Linked DNA regions of Tamandua tetradactyla. The protein of the gene in region 1 purifies or fractionates together with the protein of each later gene. This does not show direct contact. Links are inferred from orthologs where the notes say so. Each region holds a gene or a part of one and is shown on either strand. Other genes may lie near its edges.

Region 1 (8,163 bases):
TCATTGTACAGATGTTCAAAGAAATGAAATCCTTTGCCAAGGTCAAACAGGGTGTGTGTAGACAAAAGCTGAGTGCATGCGTGCAAGTACAATCCTGACCCTGACTTGTAGGTATCTTCTCATCTTCCGGAAGGTTGGTGTTTCAATGATTCAATTTCACCACACCCCCAGCACAGACCCCTAAGCACTCTGAGGCTTCCTCCAACCCAGAGGTTCTCAACTATGAGGAACCGACAAAAGTGGTATAGAGCTGGAGCAAAACTGAGAAGGAACTACCCTGGATCTGAGAGGGAACATCTGCTCCCCATCCCCAACCTAGCCTGAGGAGCACAGCTGGGAGACTTGGAGGGTGGGTGGCAAGGCAGGTGGCAAGCCTGGGAACCACGAGAGGCCTGGAGTCTCTCCCTGCTTAACTGGAAGGAGCTCACTTCCTCAGTGCCAGGCAGAGGACATCTTTGATGCCAGGCAGCTCTCACTCTGAATCCCAGGGGCTGTGACCCAGACCTTCAAGCCCTCTCCCACTTCAGGGACGGGACTTCCTGTTTCTGGGGCTTTCTATTTGCCTGGTTCAGCACAATAGAGCTGATAAGCTTTCCACTGGGCTCAGCAGTGTCTAGATCGTATGTGGGTTAGCAGGGAAGTGTGTGTATTGCTGGGAGGAGCATCCCTAAGAAACCAAAAACAGGACAGAAGTCAGCTCTCCAAGGTCTGGAAGCTCCCCATCCATGGGGCGTGCTGATCGTGGCTTCTGGAGTCAAAGGTGGTAGGAGTGTGCCACTGCTCTTACACAGAAGGGAGAGGTCCTGACAGAATGTGAGGTCAACCATCCCTCCTCCTCCACTCTTTTGGGTGCACTGGTGTGGCCCCGGGAAAGCAGGAGACAGGTTAAAAACAGAAGCGCGACCGTTTCTTTATTAAATTATACAAAAAGGGGAGGGGAGGGGGGCAGCTCTGGGGCTCGGCCCCAACCCCGGCCCCACCCCGGCCTGGCGCTGTCTGAGAGGAGGGGATCTGAGGGAGACCCAGGGATCAGGCAGGAGAGGGATGGGGCAAGAAATGAGGCTGGGGGATGCAGAGGTGGGTCGAAGCTACTGGAGAAGGGATGGACTTTGCTGGGAGGAGGGGAGAAGAGATCAAGGAAGTCAAGAGGAGCAACTGGGGACCAGCTGGGGCGCTCAGAAGAGCAGGTCAGGAGGTGGGACAATGGCTAGTGAGGACAGATGGGTGGTGTCTGAAGAGGTGGAAATGACAGGCTGGGGGATAGATGGGGGTGGCCGCTCAGGTGTGGGGCCCAGAGCAGGGAGCCAGGTGAAGAGCGGCTGGGCTTGTCAGCTCCCATCCCACCTCCAGGCCCCGAGGGGCCTCCCACCCCAGCCCGTTGGCAGGGGGCTCATGCCGATGCCCCATTTTCTGTCTTCTGCCGCTTGGGATCTGCTTCATCCTGCAGAGAGGGAAGAGTTGGGGGCGCTGTAAAATGGGAGAGGGGTCTCCCCCTGTTCCAGCCCTACTCCAGCCCCCGCCCGGGCCACCACAGGGATCTGGGTCCGAATCCAGAGAGGTTCCAGCCCCTTCTGTATCCCTGACAGCCCCTCAGGCCCCGCAACCCAGCCCAAACCTCCTCTTCAGCAGCTCTCTTCAGCGCGGGCCCTTCGTCATCCTCTTCTTCTTCTTCCTCATCTGAGGAGCCAGAAATGGGTCATTGGGGAAGGGCAGGAAGCCCCAGCAGAGACCCCCTGAGGTCGCCCTCTGCCCTGCTTCAGGTCTTCGAGCCCACCCTGACTGTGTTCTGTGCGGACCTGCTTTTCCCGGCCCTGCCACTCCTTCCCCTCCCCACCTTCTTCTTCCCCTTCATCCTCCTCCTCGCCGTCCTCGGCAGTTTCTTCTTCTTCCTCCTCAGCTCCGTTCTCTTCCTCCTGTGGGGGCCAGGAGAGGGAGCAGGGTCAGGCTGGCAGTGGGTTCCCATCCCATCCCAACCAGGGGCACCAGGTGAGTAAAGGACTTGGGAAAGGCCTGAGGGTGGGGCAGTGGGGTGGGAGGGGCCAAGGAAAGGCAGAGCCCAGTAGCCCAGGAAGGTAACTGTGAGGAAGGGTGAGACCCCCGGGAGGGGGGCAGCTGGGAAGGTGTGGCCGCCTCCCGCCTGTCCCCTCCGCACCTCCACCACCTCTTTCTTTCGCTCTTTCCGGCTTGCCTTCTCCTCCACCTTCTCTTTCTTCTCCTTCAGGTCCTGTAAGGGAGAGAGAGGTCACCTTTGAGAGCCACACATGATCTGCAGCCCCCAACTCCCTCCAGCCCATTCTCTGCAGGGAACTTGGGGGAGAGTGGAAGGGAGATTGCAGCCACACTGTAGAGACGGAACAGACATGCCTACGTTAGGGCCAGTAAAGACTGAGCCCAGAGACCTCCTTCCCCAAGACCAAAGCGGGCAGAAGAGAAAGTCTTGAAGCAAAGGGGAGTGGGCAGCCAAGGTAACTGATTCCCACCCCCATCAAGTTTTCTTCCAAACCTCTCTGGCTGAGAGTTCTGCTCAGCAAAGCAAATCCCCTCCATCTGCTTGCAGCCCTCAGTGCCCTACTCCCCCTTGATGTCCCTCCACCTCCTTTGCCTGCCCCCTCCCACAGCCTGCCCAGCACTGCCTTTTGTCTACATTGGGGGCCTTTTCCTGAGTACTCTCTCCTGGGCTCCCTCCAAACTACCCCCTCCAGCTTCTTCAGCCTTTGTTTCTCTCTCTGTCTCCCTAATCCTCATACTCTTACTCAGCCAAACACCATAGGAATAGGGAGAGCACCCCAGCCCAATTACCAATACCCCTCTACTTTTCCTCACCCCTACCCCCAAACAGCTGACACAAGGCCAAATAGTAACCCCCCCCCCCCCCCACTTCCTGGCAGTGTATGTGGGAAGGGAAAAGTAGCCTTTTCCAGTGCAAATGCATGAAAAATAGGATAAAAGGAACGGAAGGGAAAGAACATCAGCCATGGAAGACGAAGAGAGAGAGAAGAAAAAAACAAGGCCCATGTCTGAGGTGGGATGGGAATGCAGACAGGGAGGTCCCCATTCGGAGTATCCTCCCAGCCTTCCACCACTGCCCCCTCTCCTCCAAACCACAAGATCCCAGCAGGCAAAGGCCTGATGTTCTATTCTGATGTGGCAGAGGAGGTCGATGCTCATGGAGAAGTCCCCTGTGGACACTGCACCTGCCCTTCCAGTTCAGATTCCAGTCCTCTCCCCGCCCCACCCCTTGGCAGGCACCGAGTGACACTGTGGGTGTCCCTGTGTGATCTGATCTGGTGTTGATGTGCAACTGCATGTATCTGATTCCTTGTGGAGGGAAGTTTTCTGTGTGAGCAGATCGCCCAGGGCAAATGTGTCCTTTCTGGAACAGGATGGGGGATAAGAAAGGGATTAGTAGATGACAATTTGCTGGCCCGGGGGGACACTCAATTCCCTTCCCCTGTAAGGGGGGGGGGGGGGCAGCACAGAAAACTTCACCTTCTCTCCCCCACTACATTTCTTCTTCATCCTACTTCACTGTCCCCATTTCTTTGCCATATCATTGGTGTGGCACTTCTATTCTGTGGGCTTTTCCTTACCACCTGGGACAGAAGATCCTGGAGCTAGTCAACCTCTCTCTGGGGGGCCCAGACCTCTATATTGCCCTGGCCTGAGTTTGTTGTCTGGGCTGATGGAAGGAGGGGGAGTGCAAGAGAGGGAGGGTGAATACCAGAGTCCAAAGTCCAAGGGGCCGGGATCTCTCCTCCCCTGACCTGTCCTTCTGGTCACTGTCCTTCTATGATCCCCCTTCCAGAAGGGTATGTGACCTAAGCCCTAGGTCTTGTGCTAATCAGCTCTCTGGCCTCATTTACTCAACACAGGCCCACACACTGACACAGACTGACACCGATTCAGAAGAGCAGCAATGGATAGCGCGCCCACACAATCTGGAGACACATGGCCCGGTGTTTGGGCATTCTGGCACTCACTCTGGAGACAGCACCAGAGCACAGCAGAGCCACTTGGCACTCACAAAGCAGCAACATAGCTCCAGAGCATGACATCTCCACATGCACACACGTAAGTGACACGGGCAGTCCCACACGCTTGCTGGATTTCAGACATACAAAGACACCTACTCAATTAAGTCACATGCCACCACACACACTTATACCGAACCGGAGGGCCATCCAGGCACACCTTGTGCGATAGCAAACACACCCGTCTCCCACGTTTTTAATCCCACAGGTTCTCCCTTTTTACCTCTAAGGGCTCGGGGCCGCCTGTGTGCCAGCTCCTCACACCACCCCCCTACACCAAGGTCGGGCCCCCAGCCCCCAAACCCCGGCGGCATTAATTTCCCAAAGCGACACTCCACGCGTCCCCTAGGGAAATTAGAAGGCGGCAGGAAGAGAGGCAAGGGCAAAGGTGCGGAGCCGGGCGGGGAGCTCATGAGGTTAAGGGCAGCTCCAAGCAATGCCGAGCCTCAGCTTTTTCGAAGGCTATGTCTGCCCCTCTTCGAATTTTGTAGGAATTCAAGATTCTTTAAGTCGGGGGGAGTGGGAGCAAACGGAGAGAAAGGAAAGCCAGTGGAGGAGAGGGAATGTGTGTAGACGGAAGGAAAGGAGGCAGTAGCTATCGGGGGAGGGAAGCGAGACGGTCGGGCCGCGAGGGGAGGGGCCGAGAGGAGTAGCCTCCCGGGAGAGTCCTGTTTACACTTGAGGATCTCAAACCGCTTAGCAGGAGGAAAGGTGAGGTCAGCATGGAAAGAGACGGAAAACCAGGCGCGGGATGGGGAAGAGCAGGAGAGGGAGCGCGGTGAAGTGAGCCGCCGAGAGCGCCGACGGGAAACCAGACGGGGTAGAGGGCGGCAAGGTTGGGCCAGGCGGCCGAGGGGTGGGGACCGCGGCGGGGCCGAGCGCCGACTCGAGCGGCGAGGCCGGAGGCGCGGCGCGCGCGGGGAAGCTAGAGGGCGCTGGCGGGAGCCGCGCGGAGCGGGGTCGGCAGCGCCAGGCTGGGGAGCGGGGGGGCAGGGCGCGGCGGGGTCCGCCGGGACCTGGGCGCTAGGGCCGCACGGGGCCGTCGGGGGAGGCCTGGGGGCGGAGGGCAAAGCCGAGCGAAGCCCGGGGACGCGCGGGGTCCCGGCCTGCCGCTGCCCCCGCCCGTACCTTGGCGCTCAGCTCGGCCGCTGCCTCCACGCTCTTCTCCGACATGGTGCCGGGGCCGGGGCCGGAGCTGGCGGGGAGCCGGGGTCCCGGGGCCGGGACGAAGGAGCCCTGGACGGCGAAGAGTGGCCGCGGCCGGAACCTGGCGCGGTGGCGGCGGCGACAGCGGCAGCGGCGGCCGCTCAGCAAGCTGGGTTTCTGGAAGAGGCGGCAGAGGCGCGCGGGGTGGGGCGGGGGTGGGTCTGGAGCGGAGACCCGCAGGGCTGCGGCCGTCCGGAGGGCGGGCGAAAGGGCGGTGCGGGCGATGGCCGGCGCGCTCTGGCCGCGGTCGCTCAGTCTTCGGCTCGCCACCCACGCACCAGCAGAGCTGCCGCCGACCAGCCGCTGCCGCCCCCGGGAAGAGAACCCGCTTATAAGGCGGCGCTGCCCGACGGGAGGGGCTTCCCAGGGGTGGGGCAGGCTGGAGCTGGGAGGAGAGGAGAGGGGAGGGGAGGGAAGGGGAGGGGGATGGAAGAGGAGGTTGGAGAGGTGGGGATAGGAGGATGAAAGCTAGGGGAGGGAGAGCGAGAGAGGCGGGAGGGAAGACGGGATCGGGAGGGGGAAATCGAGAGACTGACAGTCGCTGAGAAAGAGGAGTGGGGCGCGGAGGTGGGAAGGGGTGGGGTTCCTGCAGGGAGGGATCTCTTCGAATCCTAACCTACTGCCTGCGAATGTAGAGTCTATCTTTTGAGGGCGGGCTGGAGGGGTGGCTAGAGTCCTACTGACCCCCCAAAACCCTGAAATTTTGCCAAGGGGTAAAGGGAAAGGCAGGGCAGGTATCTGAAAAAACCAAAAGCTTAAAGAAGAGGAAGAGGGTGGGAGAGCTACTTCCACATCAACGCTGGATTGCCCCTCTCATCCTTGGTCTACATTATCTCGTGGTGGCCTTGAGAGAGGATGGGAGCGCAGAAAAGGCAGCCCACCCTTCTTTCTCTCCCGAAACTGACATTCGGCGGTCCTCCTTTCCTGGCTCTTCCTCGGGATCGAAGGGCAGTCCGAGGACCCCCAGTCTCCTTTGCTCGGCCCACCTCTACCCGAACTTCCACCCCTCTCACCTCAGTTTTCTTTGCGTGGTTCTTCTATTTTCTTCTTCCCACTTCTTTTCTCTGTTCCCAGACTCCCTCCTTTACCACCATTTATATCTGTATCTTATTCTTCTATCACCTCCTGTCCTCTTCTCCTTTACCCTCCCATCTCTGCTTTCTTTCCTGTTCTTGTCTTATCTGACTTTGTCACCTGGCCTTTTGACTGATTTTCCTCAACTCTTCATGTCCCTTCCTCTGCTGCCATCTTCCCCAGGCCTTTCTATGTTGTATTTGCCTCCTTGGCAAGGGGTCCAGGTTTGGAGGTCCAGCCCCCACCTGTTTCACACATGCTCAGCTCCTCAGCCTCAGCCTCCTGGGGTCATTTTGAGAAGCTTGGGATTTCAGGAGAGGACAGGGACCGAGGGGGGGGGGCATGTATTAAAGGTCAGGAAGGTGGTTGAAGTAGAAGGCATTCTGAATTTGTCACCATCATTATACTTCATCTTTATCATTTCCATTTCTTAATAAACTTTGATCAATCATCATCATTATTTAGTATTTGCGTGCTTAAATACACCATCTTTTGATCCCTTGATGTACACACTTCCCAATTTCTCTTTAAGACTCTTCTGTTAGTTTCTAAGTCTCGGTCTCCTCAAAGATCTTTGGGCTCCACCCGAGTTTTTCCCTGCCCGACTCTGCCCATCTTTTCTCGGAGATCTTTCCATTTTCCTCTCGCAGTCTGTTTTTCTGACTCACTCGCTGATTCTTTAGTGATCTCTCACCGTCTCCATCTCTGTTCCCCTCTCTTGCTTCATTTCTCTTCTTCTCCCCCCTCCTTCGCTCTCCCCCCCCCCCATAGTATCCCTGTCTCTCTCCCTCCCCATCAGTCTCTCTTTCCTCTCCTCCCTGCCCTCCTTCCCCCTCCCTGCTTTCCACCTCCCAGCCCCGCCTGCGGTCTCGGACACCCTGCTGGGCTCTTACCCCGTTGTCCTGGTAACCGCCCCCCACTCCGGTCACCTCCATTCCCCTCCCCCCTCCAATCACCGCCACCAACAACCTCCATCCACCTTCCTCCTATTTTTCCTGAGAACCAATAGAAACCCTGTTGCCAGGTGGAATGCTCATTTGAATCAGCCAATCCAGAAGCCTAACTCCTTGCCCTGCCTTATATGGGGATGTGAGGAGGGCCACTCCCCCCACTCCAGCCCCATTGGGGACCAGCCTCTCCAATGTCCCGTCTCCCGGCCCTGGAGAGAGCTAGGGACCCTCCCTCTCACCCTTCTATAAGTGGCCTGGCCTCCCATTCCTCTAACTGGGACCATCAGGGTTAGTGTGCTGTGGGCTGGACTGTGGGCTGGGCCTCAGGGCCCGGGGGTGGGAATGAGGTGTGATCAGGGGAGGGGGGGCGGAGAGAGCCGGGAATTTTGCCCAGGGAGGGGTGTCTGGGAGCGGAGGCAGCTGCAGTGGAAAATTCCTGGGAGATGGAGAGGCAGAGAATGGGAATCCTGCCCCAGGGCCCGAGGGAGCTTCTTGAGAATCTAAGAGTGGACACAGGGGTCTTTGCACTACCTGGAAAAGATTGAGGAAGCAGGAGACTTAGGTCTAATTCCCTTTCTGCATGGGGGAAGCATCTTCAGCCTTTCCTGTCAGGTTGGACAACAGACCAGTCTCTTGAAATCTTGGCTTCAGGCAAAAGAAATCTGAAGTGAGACTTGGGATGAATTTGGAGTGAGTGGGAAGCTGAAAGCCTACCCTCATGGTCCTTGGGGTTAGTCTCTGGACCTCTGGGGCCAACAGCGTTAGATGATGCCAGCCTGTGTTTGCTCCTTTGTATAGAACTATTTCTGAGGCCTTGTGGAGGCTTGTCTATTCCTAGAATTCTATTACTCCATGGTCATAATCTCTCCACTAGTTGAATGAGGAAACCTGTTCTTTTTACA
Region 2 (8,685 bases), on another chromosome or scaffold:
TCATTTGTACCTCTGTCCAGTTCTTCCTGTAATCTCTTCTTCCCTAGTGCTTTGGATATAATTCCAGAGTTTCATACGCAAATACAAGGTATTTTTATTCTTCCCACCTTTTTACATAAAAGGTAGCACAATATACAACCTGTTCCTCCCTTTTTTTTTTATTTAGGAATTTATCTTGATAATAAGATAAAATGATTTCTAAAAATATATGTGTAGCTAGAACTGAATAATCTATAATACACTAAAGTTCTTGTTGTTATGTTTGACTAATCAGGAACTAAACTGACATTTTTAGTACAAACTCTGGGCAATTTGTTTTGAAGGCAGGAACCTAAAGTAAAGCACATATATATGTAAGATTCTTCAAAGGTCATGACATCTTGGATATTCTTTGAGATTTTTGATTTACATATATTCCTTTGAGGCTTTGAAGGCAGAATATTCATTTGAGAAACATATATGTATGTGAAATATCCCATTTCTCATATAATATAATGCCCTGTGCTTTCATGATACCTTTTATCTGAGGAGCTCAAAGAACTAATTATTTCCAACGCCTATATAGGTTACGTTAAGTATCATTATTTCTAATTTACAGATGGGGAAACTGAGGCTTGTTAGCTCGGTTAAAATCATAGCAACATCAACATTAAAGTTTTACTGGTCATTTAGGATGCATGGCACAAAAATAAATTCATGCACCACATCAACGTGGTAATTACTTAAAAACACCTATTTTTATTCTCTGGCCTCTGAACAAAAACTGTTCTTTTTCCACTCACCTGAAGAAGAAAAATATTCTATGAGCAATGTAAGTATTTGAAGTGTTAATGAAATTTTTCTCTACTCCTTTTTTCTTTTGAGAAGTCTAAACAATCTTCTCTAGTGCTTCACCTTTTAAAATTTAACTATGTATTTTAATCCCTAACACTCCCCACAATTGTTCTTCCAAATTCATCCATTTTCTCAAGGCCTCCCATATTGAGAAAATCTTGGCCATTAGAATTTCCACATCTTATCTGTTCTCTATCTTTTCTTTTTTCCTGTTTTTTTTAAAATTTTTTATTAATTAAAAAAATTACAAGAAACAAACATTCCCAACACATACAATCAGCAATTCACAATATCATCACATAGTTGCATATTCATCATCATGATCATTTCTCAGAACATTAGCATCAATTCAGAAAAAGAAATAAAAAGACAACAGAAAAATATAACAAACAGAAAAAAAAAAATTTACAGGCCATACCCCTTACTGATCCCTTTCATTTTCCTGTTTTGAAAGAAGAAGTGTAAATCCTCTTTTTCAAAGTTAGTTCCTCTATCCCTGTACCTGGTTCCATATCTTCATGCCTACTCTGGGACTTAACTCCTTTAACTATTGCTTGCTCTCCAGCATCTTCAATTCCATCTCTTCCACTGGGTCCTTTGATCAGAAATATGCACAAATATCTTAATGATAAAAACACATAGACAAAAAAACAGAAACAACAAAATAAAACCGCATAAACCAAACCAAACCAACCTAAACTCTAAGCTCCTGGAGAGAAAGAGTCATGTTTCTTTGATTTATGCCTAAAGTCCAGCAAAATGCTGGAATATAGTAGGTATTCAATAAATGAATAAATGAAAACATATTTCTCTTGCTTGTCCCACAATTTCATTTCAACTTCGTACCACCTCACATACTACATAGGCCTCTTGGATGGACTTTTGTCACTCATAGTACTTTTATAAAAATTATTCTTAATGGTTTGAAAAATAATAAAATAAAAAGTTCAAACACAAGAATCACAAGGAAAGGAAGAACTATCTGAAATCTCACTATCTAGTATAAGCATTTTCAGCAATTTGCTGAATATTCTTCCCAGTTTAATGCATGTGTATGCATATATATATATGCATAAATGAACACAATTTTGCAAAAATGGGATACTATACAAGCTCTGTTTCAGTAATGTATTTTAGATATGTTTTATGTCAATAAATATAACCACATTTTTTTAAAGGGCTGAGTGGTATTTTGCGGTAAGGTGGTACTGATTATTTGCAAAGTTGTAATCAACTTTGCAAATAAAAAAGACACCTTGTGTCTTTTTTCAAAAGCACATTTCAGTTTAAAAATCACCAAGCTGCAATTCAGAATGCTTACCCGGGGTCCCGAGACTGATGGATCCCCTCATATTGCCTATTTTTCTGGGGAGAGTCTATAATTTTTATCAGTTTTTCGGAGGCCTGGAACATAGAATGATTATTATTTAGAGTATTACTATGTTCCAGGAACTAAGTTAAGCACATACAATTAATCTTCACATCAAGCCAATTATCCCCATTTTACAGATTAGGAAACAAAGCCATGGAGAATGACTGGTCTCTACTTTTCTACACATTTTGCAAATCACAGATTTGTCATTGTTTGACTTCGATCATCTCATACCCTTGCTTCAACCTCTTCTATGTTTTCCCATCGTCTAGATGGTTCTCAGTTTTTATAACTTTCAATCTCTGTCTTTCACTATTCCTGTTTAGATGCTTTGCTTCAAAGCAGCTTGCTCACTTTGCACCTTGTTTCCTTAAGGTCACCAATTTCTTTTCACCCCATTTTAAATCCTTCCTCTCATAGGACTGCCCTACCTCAGAGTGATCATCTCCCTCTAAACTTAGTTTCCCACTAGCACCACCATTTGGCTTAGTGTTAATGTGAGAATAAAACCTTGACGCTGTAAGATCTTCTCCTTTGTTTTGCAAAGAGCTATTTAAATATTGCCATGTTATTTAATTTTGAAGGTGTTTACACCTGTTCTCTTCATCTACCATGTGAATTCCAGATTCCATTAGAGATGAGGCCTTGTTTTATACCAGTTGTTTTTTCTCATAATACAGTTCACTGCGTTAACAAGTGTTTTAATAAATTTTTGATTTTTTGGGGGGGGGGAGGGAGGATGTTATTTGTGGTTAGCCTGCACTTACTATTTAAAATTCACGTCTCTGTGCTGTCTGCATTTTAAGATTATCTCACACTTGCTGTAAGGAATTTATTTAAATGTGAAGTGTCAGATGATAATACTGTCAACACTTGAAGAAAAATAAAAGTTCATCAACTTGCTGTGGCAGACATGTTTACATGTGACAGTGCCAAACTGTTCATATATCTGAATGAAATTCCAGTTTCTGCTAAGATTATCTTAGGCTTTATCATGAGATGTCCAAACTAAATCAAATGTATTACTCATTTCTTTTGATTGGGAATCATAACCTACTAAAAAAACAGAGAATTGACTTTGATAAAAATATAAATATATTTTGATGATCATTTGCTAAAAACTACATATCAGGTAATACAATAAAGGCTTAGCAAAAACAAAAAATGAACAAAGAATATAAAGCAATCTTTTGTGAAATAGAAAAAGTAGAACCATGCCTACTTAACAGTTAAGTGTTCCAGATTCCTAAAACGGGTCATTAAGCAGCTATTATCAATGGAAAGTATAAAAAAAAAGTGCCTTTCCTCCAAGTATTTAAAGAACATAGGTGAAGGAGAATTCAGCATGTTGTTCAGTGTGTCTGAAAAACTGGCCACTGGAAATCAACACTAGCATATCTGTAGCACTTTAAGTTTGTGAAGTACATGGCAAAGAGCTTTTTTTATTTTCAAAGGAAACAATTAAGTGGACTAGGACAAAGACACCGAGGTATGAGACAAAGGTTTGGCTTGATATTATAGAGTAAAAACAGAAATCTGGACTAGGATTCATGGATTTAACTGCTCGTGGGCCTCACTGAACCTTGGATTTGTGGAGACTTTTTTCAGTACTTGAGACCACAGCATTTTTTATTCTTACAGGAATACTAATCAATAACTAATCATTAACTTCAAACTTCTTGTGTTGGGTTTTACCCTTAGAATCAGATTCCTTGCTGATGCAGGAAAGGCTTAGTCATGGCGGGACAGCCATAAATGCTCAGCTATCAAAACACACCAAATTGTCTGTAAACTTCAAAAAAATTTAAAAACTGCCCCTTATTATTTTGGGCCACAGCTTGCTTTCATTTCTTTCAGCCGCTTACTCCTTCGAGAAGCTTATAGGTTTTACTGCTTGCAAATCAATGAGTTAGGTTTCAAAGGGAATTTTAAGAAGTAATTAAGGTGATTCTCAGGAAGGTGACCGCAGCTTGACCCAGAAGGTCTGTGCCTAGTTATTCAACTTCTAACCGTGGCCATGGCCTGATTTTTTGTGTCCTTGACATGACAACACTAGGTTCTAGGTTTTTGCCTATATAACTTATTTCTGCTTTAGAGAAGAGTAACAGGGAAGGAGGCTGGTTAATAGTATTTGCACAATTTAAAATGAAGATTATCGGTAAAGACGGAAAAGTAAAATAACTATATCTTCACTGTTTTCAGGATACGGGCTCCTTATTTACTGCTAGACGGTTCCACTCTCACGTAGGTGCCGCATGACCTTTTAACAATACAGACTCTCAGGTGTCACGTCCAGGAATCTGATTCAGTAGCTCTGGGGGTGAAACCTCCCTGAACATGCATTTTTAAAAAGCACCCAGGAGGTTCAGACGCTGGAGCTGCATGCCCACGAGGGAAAAACCAGCGAGAAAGATCCCTTGTTTCTTCTATTCTAACCAAGACACCTTTCAACTTGGGGCTGGGTACTGTCATCAAGTTTCCTCTGGCCTTGCTTAGCTCACGATTTCAGTTTCGGCTCTAAAGGCACTCAGTGCTGGGACCTCAAATAGTTTTTCTTTTCCCTTCTTCCCCAATTACATATTCATTGCTCTTATTAAATTATAATCTCTTTGTGGGAGACTGTCCCTGGTGGTAACCCCATCCGAGTAATGAGCTCAGTGGCTCTCCCAACAATCGGTCAATGAATAAAGCACAGGGTACTTCAGCACAGCTGCCGGGTTCTCTCAATCAGACGCGGGTGAGGGCGACTGGTTTCCCGCACCCCACACCGTCACCTTGCAGAAGTGCGCCAACTTCCAATGTCCGTCTCCGCTTGCCCGCCGCCCTTAACCGTCACTGATTCCTCCGTGAAGTTAGAAGTGGGGAGAGGCCGTCCCAATTGGGGCGGTGCGTCCTCCTGAGCTTCTCAGAGAGGCCTTTCAGTGGCCCACCAGACTGAGGACACGAACCATGTACTCAAATCCGCTGTGGCGTTCCTCCAAGTCCACCGCATTGCAAAGCGTGAGACCCCCCCAGCACGACTCCCAAACCGGCAGATGGCGCTCGCTGGGGAAAGCACGAAGAATTTTCGGGAAGGCACCGGGAGGGGGGACAGGGAACGAGGCAGAAGAGGTTTTTAACCTCGTGGCAGCAACCGCAGCTGCGGCTGCCTCCGCACATTAATGGTCGGGCGGAAGTCGAGCGTCGCCGCGCTGCCCGACGCCTGACGTACTTCCTGTTTGTTGTTGGAGAAAGGGAGAGAAAGAAAAGCGCGAGGAATCGCTGCCACCGCCTCCAGCAGTACCAGCCGTGACGGAGCTGAGGGGAGACCACGGGCCTCGCCGCCCAGCTTCTCTTCCTTCCTGCCGCTGGCTGCCAACCTCCTCTGGTAAGGGAACGACCTCCCAGGCTGCGGGGGAGGTTTGGGGACGAGGGCACTGCCTCTGAGCCCCGGCTAGTGGCTGACTTGACCCGGCGCCTTAGCAACAGCATGTGTGTGGTGGATGACCCAGGTGTCGCGGCGCTGGCTGGCCTTTGGGAGTAGGGTGGGTTGAGGGAAAGGAATAAAGGCCTGACGATTCGTACTCGTTTCGAAGCAGTGAGCTGGGATGACCGCCCCGGAGTCGAGTCGGCGCCGCTTCTCCCTTCTCGGCCGGCGCTGCGGGCCTCTGGTGTCCTTGCTCCATACAGGGCTCCCTTCCTCCTCGGGGTTGGCGGTTGGGGGTGGGGCCCGTGCGAGGGACACCCGGGCGACGGCGGCGAGGGCCTGGGCTCCTGTTTCAGGCTTTTCTCTCTTATCCCTGTTGTGCGGAAACGTTGTCTCTCTCGACTTCTCTTTCTTTTCTCTTTTTTATCAATGGAAAGGGGTTGAAGGGCGAGGAGCTTTTTAATTTCCTTTTAAGCTCTTTTGTAGTTGACTCTGAAGCCAAAATCAGCCAATCTTTATCGGTTCGGAAAAGAGCAGAATTCATATGGTAGATAGTGCTGCCAAGTATGGAGCACAGGAAGCGGGTGGTGGGGATGCGAAAGCCCCCTTTATAGAACTACCGACTGATTTTTCCGTTTCTTGGTCAGCAAACGGCCTTTCAACTCACAGAAGAGGTTTATTTGCTTTGTTTCACTTAAAAACAAACAACAAACCCGTACTGTAGTTTTTATAAGGATAGCAGCTTTTGCCCAAGTAAGGAAAGAAGTTTCGTTGACACAAGAAGTGGTAATTGCAAACTTTTTATTATCTCGAAAAAGGTTTTTGGAGTAGTGTCTTTTTTTGTTGTTTTAAAAGATAATTTGATAGTAAACTTCATTACGCAGTTATATGGGGTTCTCATATAAACTAGAGGAAAGGAAATAGTGTAGAAGACTACTCTTGTCACCAAGAGGGACTAACGATAGAACTGAAGATTCCGGTATGTATGGAAAGAGCAGGCTAGCAACTGTTTGTATTTTCAGCATTTTATTTGAATTGTGAATTTGTAGTAAACTTCTATGGGTAGGATCTTTGAGGACAACTGATTGATTAGAGAAGTTAGACTAATCGGCACATACAAAAGAAGTTGAAAAACCTTGACTATTTGAATTTTGCTTGCTCTGTTCGCATGTAATCACAACTTTCTAAGGTACAAATCGGAAATGATAATGGCTTCTGAAAGGAATTAATTTGTTAATTGGCTCTGCATCTACTGCTCTACTACACTTCATTCTCTCTGGAAAGTTTAATCCATACTTTTTTCTTGTTTCTGCTATTGAGAATCTTCATCTCCTGTGGGGTCAGGAACTGTCTTTTATTTTAGGGGTCTGTAATAAGAAAATGAGTGTTCTTTAGACATACACTTCCTTTAATCCAGTCTAGAATTGTTTGGATTATGCAGAGTATGAAATTTGGGGAGTAAATTGACTTGATGTAGTAGCTTGTAGGTGTGGATGACTTGACAGGAAGTGGGAGGAGAACAAAAGGGATTGAGAAGGTGGTTTTTAAAAAAAGTCCTAGCTGGGCTTAGTGTGTTCCTGTAGGCAATGAGAAAGTTGGAAATTTAAGAGTATTGAGAGCATTTAAAGAATTTGAGATGACTTCAGCCCCTCTTCAAAACATCCATGTTTTAAAGTTTATTTTCTTTTGGATTTCAAAGTGTATGATTTGTGGGGTATTTCTAGTTTCTGGACAGAGACTGAACCTGGAGGGTTCGGGTGGGAAATATTGTTTGAGTAATAAAGTGAAGGCTAAATCATGGATATGAAATTACAGTATGATACTTGCAACTAGGTGGAATACAATAGCTTTCCTTTTTAAGTACACCCATTTTTTTTTAAGTGTTTAGAGCCAAAAGTGGATCCATTCTCCCATGCATTAACTTTATTTTGCACTGTTTCAAACAAATGTGATCGTACCCATCACTCCATTGACAGTTTAGTGGGTGGGATGATAAGCATTTTTTAAAGTTACCACATTCTCATAAAAGAGCACTTCAAAATACAGTAGGTCGTCGTCGTCGTTGTTGTTTAACTTGAACCTCACACATAGAGCAGAGCCATTTATTTGGTTTTCTGTAGAGCTCTGACTTAATTGAGATTTAAAAATTTTTTTTTATTGTATAGTATGACATATATACAAAGCAAAGAAAGAAAGGTAAATTGTTTTTAAATCCAACTTTTCAAGTTTGCATCTATATTTCAACATAAGGAATGCCATGTAAAGTATGATTGATATGATAGTACATATTCAACACCTTATTCTATTTTAAAGTTTTTAAATTCATCCAGGACACCCATCTAGTGGTGAAAGGCAGGTAATTGCAGGCTATTAGTGAATTAAGATAGGATTAGAGTGACAAGATAATAACAAATACTGTAGTTCTTCCTATGTCGGTAAATAGACCTTGAGAGCATTTCAGACTAAAAAAATTAAGGCTAATGGTGGTTATATGTGTTTTGTAAACTTATTTAGGGGGTGCTCATAAAATCACAGTTGAACCTTTTCGTGTGAATATCCTGCATGAGAGTGAAGTAAATTTTAAAAAGCCTTTTCTAAAGTCTGGGAAAATTAATCTCTAGAAAAATAATAAAAGTATACAAATTCCTAAAGGAATGCAATATCAAAGGAAAGAAGGCTCTGTGTTATTTATATTTCACATCTATTTCAAAAAGGATTTGGTCATAGCTTGGTTTTCTCATAAAATTTTTACTATGTCTATGTAAAATTCATAAGCAACCATAAGCTTAAATGTTTGTCTATCAAAAGACTCCTAGTAAGGAGTGGTATTTTAGGATTCTTAAGTTCAGTGACGAAGATAAATTTGTTGAAGGGTGATTTCCATACAGGGAATGTGATCTTACCCCCTTTAAAATTCTCTTACTGCCTTTTACCCCCCCCCCCCGCCCCAAAGCACTTATACCTTGTTTAATATTTTGTTGTGTGTATGTGTGTGCACATGCATGCATGCTTAAGTTCTTAATGCCCTTCTACCACCTTCAGATGGCATAATCCTCCAGGGTAGACCTTGAAT

Evidence for each region.
Region 2: the proteins of MLF2 (region 1) and DNAJB6 purify together in Homo sapiens (affinity purification with mass spectrometry; 3 studies listed by BioGRID and IntAct, with this or other methods). This does not show direct contact. The link is inferred for Tamandua tetradactyla from reciprocal best matches to the Homo sapiens genes MLF2 and DNAJB6.

What each region holds. Positions count from the first base shown.
Region 1 is NC_135333.1:69,053,745-69,061,907, reverse strand, and holds the start of MLF2 (myeloid leukemia factor 2), read left to right. Parts: upstream 1-4,661; 5' UTR 4,662-4,742; intron 4,743-5,159; coding exon of another isoform or gene 5,160-5,705; intron 5,706-7,204; coding exon of another isoform or gene 7,205-7,246; intron 7,247-8,163. Other genes in the region: PTMS (parathymosin), read right to left, coding at 1,391-1,441, 1,616-1,677, 1,835-1,913, 2,153-2,224, 5,160-5,705, 7,205-7,246.
Region 2 is NC_135327.1:203,494,754-203,503,438, forward strand, and holds the start of DNAJB6 (dnaJ homolog subfamily B member 6), read left to right. Parts: upstream 1-5,311; 5' UTR 5,312-5,573; intron 5,574-8,685. UniProt on the Homo sapiens protein: Has a stimulatory effect on the ATPase activity of HSP70 in a dose-dependent and time-dependent manner and hence acts as a co-chaperone of HSP70. Plays an indispensable role in the organization of KRT8/KRT18 filaments.